4 linked regions of the Oryzias latipes genome follow. The protein of the gene in region 4 purifies or fractionates together with the protein of the main gene of each other region. This does not show direct contact. Links are inferred from orthologs where the notes say so. Each region holds a gene or a part of one and is shown on either strand. Other genes may lie near its edges. The genes, in order: ubiquitin carboxyl-terminal hydrolase 11, eif3f, eif3b and eif4b.

Evidence for each region.
Region 1: the proteins of eif4b (region 4) and ubiquitin carboxyl-terminal hydrolase 11 purify together in Homo sapiens (affinity purification with western blotting; 3 studies listed by BioGRID, with this or other methods). This does not show direct contact. The link is inferred for Oryzias latipes from reciprocal best matches to the Homo sapiens genes EIF4B and USP11.
Region 2: the proteins of eif4b (region 4) and eif3f purify together in Homo sapiens (affinity purification with mass spectrometry; 3 studies listed by BioGRID). This does not show direct contact. The link is inferred for Oryzias latipes from reciprocal best matches to the Homo sapiens genes EIF4B and EIF3F.
Region 3: the proteins of eif4b (region 4) and eif3b purify together in Homo sapiens (affinity purification with mass spectrometry; 3 studies listed by BioGRID and IntAct, with this or other methods). This does not show direct contact. The link is inferred for Oryzias latipes from reciprocal best matches to the Homo sapiens genes EIF4B and EIF3B.

Annotation. Positions count from the first base shown.
Region 1 is NC_019865.2:28,608,238-28,612,577, reverse strand, and holds the start of ubiquitin carboxyl-terminal hydrolase 11, read right to left. Parts: upstream 2,818-4,340; 5' UTR 2,669-2,817; coding exon 2,559-2,668; intron 1-2,558.
Region 2 is NC_019875.2:2,469,806-2,474,008, reverse strand, and holds eif3f (eukaryotic translation initiation factor 3 subunit F), read right to left. Parts: upstream 2,818-4,203; 5' UTR 2,777-2,817; coding exon 2,665-2,776; intron 2,380-2,664; coding exon 2,309-2,379; intron 1,720-2,308; coding exon 1,640-1,719; intron 1,556-1,639; coding exon 1,418-1,555; intron 1,336-1,417; coding exon 1,244-1,335; intron 1,073-1,243; coding exon 936-1,072; intron 824-935; coding exon 710-823; intron 528-709; coding exon 447-527; 3' UTR 386-446; downstream 1-385. UniProt on the Homo sapiens protein: Component of the eukaryotic translation initiation factor 3 (eIF-3) complex, which is required for several steps in the initiation of protein synthesis.
Region 3 is NC_019859.2:21,379,838-21,382,068, forward strand, and holds part of eif3b (eukaryotic translation initiation factor 3 subunit B), read left to right. Parts: coding exon 1-14; intron 15-86; coding exon 87-133; intron 134-210; coding exon 211-421; intron 422-494; coding exon 495-567; intron 568-658; coding exon 659-781; intron 782-876; coding exon 877-955; intron 956-1,125; coding exon 1,126-1,264; intron 1,265-1,348; coding exon 1,349-1,474; intron 1,475-1,544; coding exon 1,545-1,622; intron 1,623-1,722; coding exon 1,723-1,831; intron 1,832-1,915; coding exon 1,916-2,016; 3' UTR 2,017-2,028; intron 2,029-2,231.
Region 4 is NC_019863.2:29,761,157-29,765,268, forward strand, and holds the start of eif4b (eukaryotic translation initiation factor 4B), read right to left. Parts: upstream 2,821-4,112; 5' UTR 2,737-2,820; coding exon 2,724-2,736; intron 896-2,723; coding exon 731-895; intron 1-730. UniProt on the Homo sapiens protein: Required for the binding of mRNA to ribosomes. Functions in close association with EIF4-F and EIF4-A. Binds near the 5'-terminal cap of mRNA in presence of EIF-4F and ATP.

The sequences.
Region 1 (4,340 bases), on a different chromosome or scaffold from region 4:
ATGTTTATTGTACAATTACGGTATGAAGCCCATTGAGATGACTATTGTTGTAGTATTGGGCTATGTAAATGAAACCGAATTAAACTTGTTTCCTGTTCACTTGGTAAAGGACGCTGCGTCACTTTTGAAGCACAAATCACACTGTCCATCTCCTTAGAAACACAATAAAAGGCATTTCCTGTTCTGCTGCATTCAGTTCATTTCAGCCAAAAAAATGCTGCTGTTTAAAGTGTAAAGGCTAAAAAAACATTCATTCATTCATTCATTCATTCATTCATTCATTCATTCATTCATCTTCTAAACCTGTTTTGTCTCTTTCAGGGTCACTAGGCTGCTGGAGCCTATCCCAGCCACTCCTGGGCGAAGGGAAGGGACATCCTGGACAGGTCGCCAGTCTGTCGCAGGGTCACACCCATGAACACTCACATTAATGACAATTAGTGACAATTTAGAGTCTTCGTTTTGTTTTTGTTTTGTTTTTTTGTTGGGGGGGGGGGGGGTTAATTGGTAACTACCAGAAATGTTGATGAGCCTTTCCAAGAGCCGCATTTCAAAAGTGGTACATATTAGAAGTTCATAGAAGTGTTATCCAAACAGATGCTTTCAGGCTTTTCCTTCCTTGCACAGACAAAGCTTCTTTTGTGTGAGGAAACATGACAACACAAAGGCAGATGGCAAAACTGGATCTGAATGACCAGGCAATATCTGCTGAAACTCAAATTTACTGTCAGGCATGGTGGTGGAGGTATGGTGATAAGGGCTTGTTTTGTTACCACAGCACTTTGATCAGCAGGAGTTAATTTTCTTCAAGCCCAGGAGTTGTCTACAAAGAAGTGTGAGGTGTTCAGACTGGCAGTGGACTTTGTGTCGGACAATTGGACACATGAGGCCCAGAACCAAGTTAAGATCCAGACTCTCATTTGACTGACACTTTGTTGGGATCATAACACAACAGGACCAAAATGTTTGCGTTCAAGTGACAAAAAGAAGAACGGGCCATGTTTTTCTTCTTCTAATAACATCCAGTTCCTGCTGCTGAAAAACACCACAAGCAGCTGAATCTGAACTAACGAAACTATAAAAATGCGAATAATGAAGATGAAATGACGGGACAGCTGTTTAATAGTTGTAGATAAGACAAATAGGTGTGTTTACATGTCCTAAAGTAAGCCGGCTTCTAAACCCGTAAACTAGTTTCTCCACTGACCAGGTTTATCTGTACAGCTAATCATGTTCAATTTGAGAGAATAAGTTTAGCTAAAAGTTCGTCTCTCTGTGGTCCTGAGGCGGAACTTCTAGCTGAATTGAAGGAGGGAGGAAGATTGGCAGAACAGGAGATGGGGCAATGGAAATTAAACAGATGGGGGGGGGGCTTGTAGGTGTATGTGCAGAATGCATTCTATTTAGAGTCTACTGGAAGATGCTGTGGTTCCTCCAGAACAGAAGAGATGGATATTGGGTGATGAAACGAGCGTCTGAACCACTTGAAGGGATTTGTGGAGAACTCTGGGGAGTCCACTCATCCATCTATGTTCTTCCGCTCGTCCGGGTCACGGGGGCAGCAGTCCAAGCAAAGAGTCTAAGACCCTTCCTGCAGCTCCTCTGGGGGGGTCCAGAGGCATTCCCAGTCAGAAGATGCAGTCTCTCCAGCATGTCCAGTCATCCGGGGGCCACTGCCCTGTGGGACATCCCAGGAGCTTCCAGGAGCAGGTGCCCAAGTCTCCTCTGGATGTGGAGGAGCAGCAGCTCTACTCTAAGATCTCTCAAGACGGCCGAGCTTCTCACCCTGACTAAGGGCACAGCAAGAGTCTCAGAGGTCAATGCAGAATTTGACACAGGTGTGGATGAAGATGGGGCTGAGTTGCTTCAGTGGTGTCCCTTTTAGATTTCTTTTGCTGAGTATTCATTTGTTTGTTATTTGGTTAGCAGGGATGGGCTCAAAAACCTGTTTCCGGATCTTAGAAGCAGGTTTGGAGAATGCTCGAGTCTTCTTTGCCAGCTAACTAGTTTCACTTGATCTGATCATCTCCCCACTTATTCGAGCAAAAAAAAAAAAAAAAAAAAAAAAATCACAGCTGATAGTTAAACTGTCATTATCAACCGCCCAAAACAACCACATATGTCAGACTCAGAGCACAGAAACAAACGAGTTCCGTTTTGGAAGCAACACTCGAGTCAATGTAATAATAAATCCCAGTTTGTTTCTCAATCAGAAGAAGCGAAACTGAAAGCAAACTGTTGCGCCTCACAAACAGATCACGGAGCCGACAGAAAATATACTGCCACAAAAAATTATTTTGTGTTATAATTGTATTAAATCCCATAATCGAAAAGCTTCCGTGGCGACTGTGAACGTCTCATTAAAGCAGGGGCGTTAGCGTTAGCTTCACCACAGCTAACAGGAGAAGCTAATGGCGAGCACCGAGGACTTCAACCTCTACAACGAGAACTCCACAGCAGCTCGACTCTACCGTGAAACTCCTCGCTCGTGACAACAGCGGCTTTCTGTCACTATGTGTCTGTGTAACAGGGAGCGGCGGTGGCGGGCGAACACTCACCAACTGTCCCCGGCACGGAGCTCACACTCCCGCAACAGACACTCGATCTCCCGCCGTTGGGTCTCCAGACCCGGAGGCTCTGCGGCGGAACAGCGGCTGTTGGCCGTCATGGTGGGAATCAATCGGTCATAAATGTCGTAACTGTAATGAACATCAACGTGACGAAATATATACGGCAGCAGTCGACCGCAGCATTGAAGAACGGGGGGAAAGAAGCAACACAGAACTGTGTTTGCGGAAGTAGGAAGTGGCGGTGACCCGGATGATGACAACTTCCGGATCTGAACGTCCCAGTTTTGGTTATAGTTCTTTTTTTTTCTTTTACTTTATTTGATCAAACAGGCAATCTGACTGTGTTCATTAACAATGACTCTGTAACAAGTAAACCTAACTGAGGAAAAATAAATAAAAGAAGTAACATGAAAAAAGGATGACATGAATAAATAAATTAAACCTCACTCACACATATTTGTAAAAAAAGGGCTTGGAATAAATTACATTTTTTTAATATGTCCAGTAGTAAACTTGTTATAAATACATTTTAAAGCATTAAAATAACTGTCTTGCAAATGTTATTAAATAAAATGAAATTAGGCCGTATTTTTTTTCCATATGAAGGTATGAATAAAACATTTTGAGATTAACAGCAGATTGTTTAAGGCTTAGTCCATGTGTGAGTCCTTCAGGTCGATCCCAAAGATGATGTTGTCCAAAGTGAGGTTGATTTGTAGCTGGACAGAGCCAGTCCAATAGATGTTTCCAGAAAGTCTTGGAGTGTGAACAATGAAAGAAAAGATAGTTTCTGTTCCTGAGTCACAGAAAGTACAATAGTCACATTCCGCATTGAATCTCTTTCTAGCAGTTCACTGGATGGATATTATCTTGTTTAAAATTTCATGATGAATTTCTTTTGTTTTTGAGGTTACTGGGACTTTTAAATAATTGGTTCTCCATTTTTTAATTTATGCTTCAGAAAATTTTTGGAGAATCAAATCAAATCAAACTTTATTTATAAAATAGCGCTTCTCATGCATTTTGTGCAGCTCGAAGCGCTTTACCATTAAGAACGGAAAACACACAATATTACAGTAAAAACCCAACCCACCCTTCACCCTTCCCACTCCCCTCCGTTAAAACACATGACCCATGGCCCCCACGTACAAAGAATAATGACTATGTAGCTTAAATAAATAAATAAGCAAACAAACAAACAAACAAGTATAGCTTGGCTCTGCTGTGAGGAAACAGTATTTGGGAATCCTTTCATACCAGGAGCCAGCCCGGCCATGGGAGCATCGCCACGGCGCCCACCCAGACTGGGACAACACTGGGGTTCACTTCACAGCCGTGAAGCTGCAAAGTTAGACCCCAGCTGCCCCAGCAAGGGCAAGAACTGCAGCAACAACCACCGACCCTGGAGGAAAAGATCCCCACAAGAAACACTGGGGCTAAAATCATGATAAGACACTAACATTAAAGACATAAGATGTATATAAAAACAGAAAATTGAGAATAGAATTTTTGTTTGATTGCACGGGATAGAGATGACTGTTTAAACGTTTACGTAGTATCTTGTTTGGTTTTTCTTTTTCTGTAAAGTCTTGATCCATGACACAGAGATATAAGATATCAAGATTAGTATTTTCAATAAGTTGTTTTATTGTTGAGGGAATTGCCTTGGTTATTTTGTTACATTCAGCTTTTTTGCATTTTACATTATACGTAGAAAAGAAGCTTTCAAATGATAATAAATTACCTTGATTGTCCATAAGGTGGAACAAA
Region 2 (4,203 bases), on a different chromosome or scaffold from region 4:
AATGATAAAGATCAATATTTTGCTTTGGATAAAAGAACTTGAAACACTTTAACGGAGTCTCACGTGCTGTCTACTGTTACTTGAATAGGACAAAAAGTACTAAATGAAGTTACTGAGGAAATACAAAGTAAATATATTTAAAGTTTTTTCATAATTATTCCTCCACTTTAAGAGTTCTGTGCATTTGACCAAATCCTCTTTATAATCTGAAATAAAGAGTTTAAACACTATTGTCACTTTGAAACCTCAAAGAGTAAATGTAAGCTGAATAAACACGCAATACCACTGTCACAAATACTCAACATGTTTTCTTAATTAGTGGTAAACTTAAATTTGAGATGTTCTTATATGTAAGATCCACCCCACCCCAAAGAAAACATCATGATGCGACTGTTTAACATTTTATTTGCTTCAGCCAAACAATAAGAAAGTTTAAATAGTTCATTTCAGGAGAGCAGCACCAGCTTCTCGTGCAGGGCAATCTGTGCCTGGGTGAGGTTGGACAGGTACGTCACCATCAACAGGTCCTGCAGCAAACCACAAGCACGTCCATGTAGAAAATACACACAACTGAATTTCACAGAAACAATTCCAGTTCCACAGTCGTACAGATGCTAGTATCTTTTAATCTTCACAATGTCAAGAAGTACAAAAGGGTAAAAAAAAACCTCATGCAAATTGTAATTACAGTATCAGGGGAAGCACTTACATTGATGTTAGAATTGAGCATGTTCTCAAAGTCCTCAGGTGGGATGGTCGGCACCTTGTTCACCAGGTCTGTGAGGAACCGGCCAACGCTGTTATCTGCTGCCACTTTCCCAGACTGGAACAGATCCAACAGGTTTTCACCAGAGATCACCCACTTCACTTTGTCATATGTGCCAACACAGGATGTCTTCTTGTTTTATTTTTTTTGTGACAGCCTTAATACTCACCAACACATCGTCAATGTATGCCAGCACCGTAGTCAGCATGTCCTGTACCCTGGCTGCAGCTCCACCCACCTGGGACAGGTCAGAGGTCAGACCCTTGGAGCGACTCGGAGCATCCCGTGTCCTTTGAAGAAGGTCCACTAAAAACAAACAAATATTCAAGTCCAGCTATAGAAATGTACATTTGCTTTTGAACAAATCTTACAAACGCAAACATACATTTCTGAAGTGCATTTGAAACGGGGACAAACATTTTTTAACCCAATAACTCAAAAGTAAGACTTTTTACCACCAGAGTATCTTCTGCTTACCGCCTATTCTCTCAGTGTCATAATAGATATATTTGACGGTGAGTGGGGTAAACATGACGCCGACGGTCTTTCCTGGCACACCCATCTGTGCGCTGTGTAAGACATACACAAACACATTTAGATTCCTCTCAACCTCAACACGACGACACAAGTTGGCAGCACAGATCCGCTTACCTGAGATAGGCCCGGATGTTCATTTTGCCACTCTGCAATGCCGTGTCCACAGTCAGGTGAATGGGGTTGGAGGCTTCACGGCTGTAATACTCATGGATGAGCACAGAATGTTCAGTGATGTCAAAGCCTGTGGCATACCTGGTGGAAAAAGGTCACCTTTTAAATGTATCTGAAAACTTTAGCTGTTGAGTATAGGTATCCGGATACAAACGGCTAACGCACCATCCGATGATGACCTCTGTGGGCGACACCCTCTTGTGAAGCTCATACATGTTTTTTGCAAATTCCATGTCAACAGCGACCTGTTGTCAATAGGACAGACAGAAGATCACTCCTTCAAAAAAGGAGGAACGTGCACATTGTATTTGAGGTGTGTTGAGAAAACAAATAGGATTGTGGCAGTAACTTTTTCACCGTTTCAAACTAGAAACGTATTCTTCTTAAAGTCGCCTCATGAAGCATAACGTTGATGACACAGCATCAGGTGAATGCAAAAGGATCAGCCGAACACATTTGTATTGCTGGTAGTCAGGAGGATAGACACATTTGTATAGTTTTCAGTTTGTTAGTTCAGGTGTTGAAGACAGACAAACTAGTTTACTGATCATTTCTGAGCAGCAGAATTATTGTACGCCATCACAGCAAAACAAGCTGCAAGTGTTAAAAAGGGCAACAAATACAAACAAATCCTGTTAAATGTTACATAAATTTATGAAGTACAGAAGTATCGATCATTCAAATAAACACAGAAGTCATCTTAAATGCAATATGATTCATCATGCTATAGGTACAAGCTTTCTCCAAGATTTTAAGAGAAAATAAAGTTTGAGACATTTTTAACCTTAAGTTGAAGTGCAAAACAATTAAATTTCGCTAATGTTTAACACTCACCTCATCTTCTGACTCATTGTGGGGGACAGAGAAGCAGTTCGTCACCTCAATTGAGTGTTTGTCAACTGTACCTGAAAGCGACAAAAAAGTTAAACCGTTATTGATATAGATGCTTTGTATTATGTATATAATTCATGACAATTCACTCGCTAAAATTCTTTTTTGTTTGTTTTGTTTACACAAATCGTAATGTTGAAAACATGTCGGCTAGCTAGCAGCTGGACTTCACCATTGGTTTAAACTAAGCCAGCGTGCGTTAGCTAGCAAGCTAAAGCTAGCCGTATGCTAGCCACCGCTAGCGCTCTGAAAACATCCATCCTCCTGCGACAAGACGTAAACATGAATTTAATGCTTACCCAAAAGGGTTCCGATCACACGGCTGGCTCCCTCATTCCTTCGCTCATACGAGTCGCAGATAGATGCGAGAACGACGGGATGGATTTTCACCACTGGCCCGTACACCGACATCTTGAAAAAAGAGGACCGTTTACCGGCTCGAGCGAACACATATACTGCCACCTAGAGGCTGGAGGCCGAATGGGCAGCAACCAATGAACAGATTTAAAAATAAACTCACACATATTTTATTAATATGACTAAATATAGATACACAGGGGGCGATTGTGCTGTTGACAGTGCTGCTAATAATGTTTTTTAATAGAAGTGTTTTAATAATAAAAAACAACAAAATCGGTTTTTAAACCAACACTAATGTTATTTTATATCAAGAATGTAGTGCGTTTGATTTTATGTTTTATGTCCACTGTTAATCAGGTGTATGCGGTTACATTGTAAGTGAATTAAGTCCACATTTCCTCTGTGAACTCCGCAAACAGGCTCCGGGGGGGGGTGTCTCTCCCTGTTGTGCGTCTGAGGCAGTGAGGTGGACGGGGGCTGCACTGATGACAGCCTCCTGCGTCGCTCACAGCCTCACTCACACCTGACCGACTCCATCGGACGCGCAGATGATGGAGCTGCTGCCGGGTTGCCCCTCTGCCACCATTTCGCACATCCACTGCACGACAAATGTTCTCCCGCTGCCTTCAACTCTTTACTCTCGATAATTGTCTGGATGGGTCGTGATTTTGGGTTTTTCCTGCGCGGTTTACTGAGTGCTTTTTCTTCTTCTTTTGTTTTCCTGGAGGAGCGAACAGGAGTGTACTGATGCGGCGTCGCTGCTAAACACCAGAAATGGGTGTCATCGAAACAAAGGTGCCAGAACCGGCTCGTTTTTGGACCCCGTTTCTCCTGATCTGCCCATAAAAGAAGATCTTATCTACAAGTTGCTGCACCAAACAGGTAGGATTTAGCTCGTTCTCTGCGGCGTACTGACTCACGGGCATCCTTTACTGAGGCTATTTCTGATGCATCCATCTGAGGTGGTGCGTCATCTTCATAGCCGCTATATAATTACATCAGTCTCCTGCGTCCATCCACCAGCTGTGGTTGGACGCAGGACGCACGACCCGCGCTCCATTTTACTGTGCAAATATTCCCCTCACACCTTCTTAACCCAGACTGCTCTCCGACACTTATGTAAGACATCCCAATAGGACTATAATGCAAGTCCTCAAAATTTAAAATAGCAGTAAAGTGCACTTACACAACGCGCACACACACTGAAGGACCACGCATGCACCCAGCCCGAGGCGTTTTATAAAGGCTGCTTCATTAAATGTGCATGGTCAGATGTGCACAGAGATCATGATGTCTTTAAGGGAACAAGATCACAGATTTATTTGTCTGTAGAGTTTAGTTTCATGAGACAAATGCCTTTAAGAGGTTTAAAGAAAACAGTAAATGTTCACCTGTATTTATGACAATCTTTAAAGAGGATCATTCGATTTACTTCAGACAATAAATGGCCCCAACAGGTCGATGGTATGATTTAATTT
Region 3 (2,231 bases), on a different chromosome or scaffold from region 4:
TCTATGAAACTCCAGTAAGCAAAGCTAAAAAATGAATGTAAATAGTTTTAATTGTTGCTTAAAACACAGTCTGTCTTGTTTTTCAGTCAATGGGTTTGCTGGACAAGAAGAGTCTGAAGATTAATGGGATCAAGTGAGTTTTTCTGTAAGTGTTGGTGACTGGTTTTGTGTTTGGATCTTAATAACTGTGTGTGTGTGTCCATCTTTCAGGGACTTCTCGTGGTCTCCTGGTGACAACATCATAGCTTTCTGGGTACCCGAGGACAAGGACATCCCGGCAAGAGTGACTCTGATGCAGATGCCTTCCCGTCAGGAGATCCGGGTCCGTAACCTCTTCAATGTTGTCGACTGCAAACTGCACTGGCAGAGAAACGGGGATTATCTGTGTGTGAAGGTGGACAGAACGCCCAAAGGGACTCAGGTAACCAAAAAACGGTTGACTTTCACCTCTCGTAGTGAGGAAAGGAGAAGTCTCATATTATTGTTGGTTTCAGGGTGTTGTGACCAACTTTGAAATCTTCAGAATGAGGGAGAAGCAGGTTCCTGTTGATGTGGTGGAGATGAAGGGTGAGAGTTTATTTTGTGCCTTACGTCAGCTGCTGGCAATTCTTCCACAAGAAAGTAGTCCCATGTGGTCCTGTGATGTTTTTTTCTTTAGAAAGCATCATAGCCTTTGCCTGGGAGCCAAACGGCAGCAAGTTTGCCGTTCTGCATGGAGAGTCTCCAAGGATCAACGCCTCTTTCTATCACGTCAAAAACAACGGCAAAATTGAGCTCATCAGTAAGTCTTGCTTTTAGGCTATAGAGATTTTTGGTTCTTATTGACGTCCATTAGCACAAAATGTTGACTTTTTTTGTGTGTTTTGCTTTTTATAGAGATGTTTGACAAGCAGCAGGCCAACAGCATTTTCTGGAGTCCTCAGGGTCAGTTTATGGTGCTGGCAGGTCTCAGGAGGTCAGTAGTGTTTTTGTTAGAAATAAGAAATAATCAGCCAATGAAAAACTTTACCAATTTTTCTGATATCTTGTGTGAGAGCTAAGCTCCTGATTCAAGTGCTGTTCTTAGGCTGTTAGTTTGTCTTCCTCAACTTTTGGTTTTGTGTGTGTGTGTGTGTGTGTGTGCAGCATGAATGGAGCTCTTGCCTTTGTAGACACATCCGACTGTACCATGATGAACATAGCAGAGCACTACATGGCTTCAGATGTGGAGTGGGACCCAACTGGTCGCTACGTCGTCACATCCGTCTCCTGGTGGAGCCACAAGGTGCGTTTGGATTTAACACCATTCCACGCGTTTTAACCGGAAAGCAAAAAAATCTCACACTCGCATAATTTTCTACTCATCCAGGTGGACAATGCATACTGGGTGTGGACATTCCAGGGTCGACTCCTTCAGAAAAACAACAAGGACCGCTTCTGCCAGCTACTGTGGAGACCCCGACCTCCCACTCTGCTGAGTGCAGATCAGATCAAGGTAACTTTTATCTGTAGCGTCTGTAGGGTAGTACAGAACAGTCGACTGACTCTTTTCCCTTCTTCTGCAGATGATCAAGAAGGATCTGAAGAAATACTCAAAGACCTTTGAGCAGAAAGATCGTCTGAGTCAGTCTAAGGCTTCAAAGGTTCGACATCTTACCCGTTTTTTTCCTCCACTCCCTCATTGTGCTGTGTGATCATGCATGTGTACGCTCCATAAGATTCACATGGTGTTTGTTTCTATAGGAACTGGTGGACAAGCGAAGAACCATGCTTGAAGACTACCGTCGCTACCGAGAGGAAGCCCTCAAGAACTATCAGGAACAGAAGAGCATGCGCCTGGAGCTCAGAGGAGGTGGGGCTTTGCATTACAATGTATGGGCTTGTTTGCATTTTTGTCTTAATGGATAACATTTGTTTTCTTTTCCGTTTGGTGCAGGAGTGGACACGGACGAGCTGGACAGCAATGTGGATGACTGGGAGGAGGAGACCATTGAGTTTTTTTGCGACGAAAAAATCATTGCCCTCGACGATCTGTAGTCCCCCACGCAGGTGACTTTTGTTGTTTTGGTTTATACACACGTGGACAGAAATGTTAGCGCACCACATTCACTGACACAACTGTATAAAATGTATTCAAGCATTTAGCTCTGGGCATTGATCATTTTAATAGTGTGAAGTTTTTTTCCGGTGTTATAGGAAGGTTCTAATGATTCATTTAAAGGCAAATGCATTTTTTCTACTCATTATGTTAA
Region 4 (4,112 bases):
TAGCCGTGCATGCACATTAACCCAGGGTTACCAAGTCCAGCGTAATTACGCCAACTCATATCCGGTCTTTTGGAACCGACATACCCAGAGTAAGCAAGTTCAGGTGGATTTCAGCCAGAGTTCAGGGTTAAAGTCGGGGTAGTTTAAACGTGCTTTCTGGAATACCCCCCAGGTGTTAAAAGGGTCAACACATACAGCAACAACAAAAAATAAAAACTTTTGGGTTTAGGATTCACAGCAAAAAGCCCTGGAAGAAAAAAGAAAAAAAAACACAAAAAAACCACACAAACAGCTGCTTTTTAAGTACAGCAATCTTTTCCTTGACATTTTTACAACATGAACTTTCCTCTTGGCCTTCGCAATATAGGATTTTGATTTTTTAAAGAATACACAAAACCGTACTTTGGAAATGTTGTTTTTTTAATTTTCAGAGTACAAACTCTTCACAGGTTTGGCCTCACATCACTATTTAAAAGCAAACAAAGGAATTAAGTGTGATCAAGTCCACATTTTAGAGCAGTTTTATGAAAGCTTAAGCAGAACTCCATCCTTTGCTGGATGTGAGCTTTCTGCAGCTGAACGTCGCCTGCATCCCGCTGCCTTTACCAGCCTGCTGATGCTCGTTTCCTTCAGCACTCCGTAGTATTGAGGCAGTTTCAGAAGAGTCCAACTACATCCCCAGCTCAAACTTTTCCTCCATTAAGAGAATAAAAAACACTGAACTACACACCATTCGTTTTTTTCTGCTCACCGTCTCCATCCAGGTCGTCAGTATCATCTGCCCAACTCGTGGACTTGCTTGGGTAGCTGGGAGGCGCGGCGGGGTTGCCTCCAGAGTCCTCTGCCAGGAAGTCAGTGAGACTGAAGGTCTTCCCCTTCTTGTTCTTCTTCTTAGCTAGAAGATAGACGGACACCACACATCAAGTTAGGAGACGTCATCCTCAAGTTAGTCAAATTTCACAGCCTGGTGCTGAGCGTACCGGCAGATAATATTTGTGTTGCCCAAACAGAGGCGTTATTAGAACGACATTATTGTTCGTAAAACTGCTGTTCTGTCTGTCCTGAAGCATGCAGGTTTTTTCCTCTGTGCAAAAAGATGTGGAGCAGAGTTAGATAAGGGGGGGGGGGGGCACCATGTGTACATGATAAATATTACACTTATTTCCCCATTGGAGAAATGTTCAGGGAGTGGCCTGCAGGCCCAACTGCCAAATTACACCAACACGATGCACCTTTAAGTCAAAACGATGAGAGCTTTAAACCAACTCGACATGCAAAGTTTGTTGCACACGATCACAACGCAACAGTGGAAGGCAGTCCGAAGGACACGTCCATTTTCCCAGAATCTTCACCTGCAGCCAACAGGATTTTCTTACAACAAAATCACCTTCAGTAGGTTTGACTGCACATTTGCTGCAAAGGGCAGATGAGGCAAACTAAGGGCAGCCAGCCACTTATCAGAAGGCGCTTGACTCCTATTAGCTCACGTGGGCCTGAAATGCTGAACACACCCTTCACTACAGTAGACATCTCTTGAGGAAGCCATTTAAAATAAATCCATCAGAACAGCAAGCCACAAAAAAATACAGGGGGCAAAAGCTGGTTTCATGACATTTAATCAATGCCAAAGCAATCAAATATGAAGAGTTGAAGGTCAGACAGTAGTGTAACATTCCTCACAAAGCCCCCAGTTTCTCACGAGGCTTCATTCATGATCCAACCAGAGCAGGTTGGATGTTTTTGGTTTGAGGCAGAAAAGGCGTAGAGACAGAGCTGGTTGTGCTTTTCTGTGAAAATCCCGGCTGTCAGGTGTACAGAAAACCAGACTGATCTTCTATTTCTATAGGAAAAGCCTCGGTATAGTGAACGTCACGTGCTTGCATCACTAGGTAATTTACCAAAAAGCTGCACTAAAGGGGCAAAACTTAGCGGGAGTAGTATATGAGCACGTGTCGGGAGGTTTCTGTTTGGGCTGATCGCTTTTGTCTTTTGTGTCTATGCGGGCTTAGTCAGCAGAAGAGTGCTGACGGGGAAGTATCCCTGCTTAGCCGGCTAGGTTTTAGGGCCTAGTGGCGCACGTAGCAGCGCTGGGATCCAAGTGCGCCATCAACTGCGTCGGACTTGTCCGGCTGAAAGAACCAACCACGACTCCAGTTCTGACGCAGACAGCTCGGCGCTTCGGATGCGACCCAGCAGGCCCAGCTTCACCACAGCCAGCTAAGAAGGGAACGGCGCCGCACACGTGGGGAGCCTCTACTTCAGGCGGCCTGGACGCCTCAGCCCAACCCCTCCTTCAGAACTCGCGCTTGCGCCCGGTGTCCTGAGCGCGAGCGCCACGGCTAGCTGAGTAGCTCTGCAACTGACATGCAGTGTGCCAGCTCTGCGGGAACGACCCGCAACCTATGTCCCCCTGATCAGTCCATGTTATATGGAGCGAAAACAAACAGGTCGCATAGCAACAAACCCCAGAGCCTCCTTTCCGATTTATCCACGAAAACGTTGCGATAACAGCCAGTTGCTCCGTCATTAGCTTAACCCCAGCCATCTGCGTCTTCGGCGGGCTAAACAGCCACCAAACAAGCGTTCAGGCCGGAGACAAGAACGTTAGCCGATCAGGCTACAGCGTGTCATTTTTAAGACGTTTACTGAAAATTTGTTTTGAAGTAACTCGCTGTACACGTTTCTAATAACCGACCCACGGCGCTCACCCACATAAACCTCACCTGACGCCGCCATGTTGGAGAGCGAGTTCCATAAAGTTCCCGGATGAAAGCGTCAGTTGTTTATTGTCGGGAGCGCGCATCGCCGTTTGCGCGCCTCGGCCTCCTCCCTAGTTTCCTGCTTGGACATTACATGGGCCTAACACCCACCCACCCACACACAATTTTGTAAAAAGAAATCCAAAAATATGTATTTTTGAATATTTACTCTGGTCTATATTTACATTTAAATTTTTATAGTTGAAAAATAAAACATAAAACAGCCGTTATGGTGGGGAATCAAAAAATGATATGCATGACTTTATTATTGTTTTCTTTAAATAAAAAAATCAATAAACGCTTTTCTTTAAATTTAGTATCATGTTGAAAATTGTTCTTAAAATACGTAAATACGTTTTTTTAATTTGTTTATTTGCTTGATACTGCCAAAGCTTTTTCTGTTTGCACACATCACCTGTATAAAAGGTGCTGTTTAAACTAAGCTGCCTTGTACTGGTTTAGGGAACTTAGTGTGAAAAAAAATATATTGTAATGGTAACCAATGTTGGCGTTGTGGACCCATGCACAGTGGTCCAAATCTCTAAAATTATACAATTGAACTACCTTTTTTAATACATAAATTTACACTTGTATATTATTTTTACTGTTTTTTGTTTTTCTTTGTTTTGTCTACAGCTTTTTAAAAAATATTTGCAAGTAGAAATCTGTTTCAGACATATGTGCAAAGTTTACACACGGCTTGTAGGCTATTTAATAAATATGCAACACACACACGTACAAAACAAAATAAAAGTAAAATCTTACCTCTTAATCACTTAAATATTGTGCTGCGCATATCTTAAAAAAGTACTCTGATTGGTCAAAAGTATCAAGACCAGTAAACCTTTTTACTCAGTTCTTCATAACTGCAGCAGCTGTAAATAAAGCAAACAAATAACCGCTTTTTCAGAGGGCGTTTTCTCAGGTTGCCATCCACTCCCACTAAAGGCATCAATGCATAAAACTCATTTACACAAGACATCCCATCAAAGGGGAAGGCTGCATTTTGTCCTCATATTTACCTTATAACCTTTTTGCTTATTTTTAACAAGCCACCATTTATGAAAGCTGATAGGATTGAGAGTGAACAACCTTTAAAACAAGTGACAATTCTTATAAAATTCAAAACACAGACCTGAAGCTTCTTGTAGAGGCCACAAAGTGGAAACTTAAGCATTTTATTTATATTTTTTGTGTTTTAACAATGTTATTATTTATAATGTTATATGAAATGTGACCCAAGAGACAAAAACCAATTGCTATTCTAGTCTTCTCTCCAAAGTTGAAATGGAAACACAGCTGCTGTGCTTTCTTCAAAAGAAAGGTGGCGCTAAAAGTCTATAGGAGGAGCCG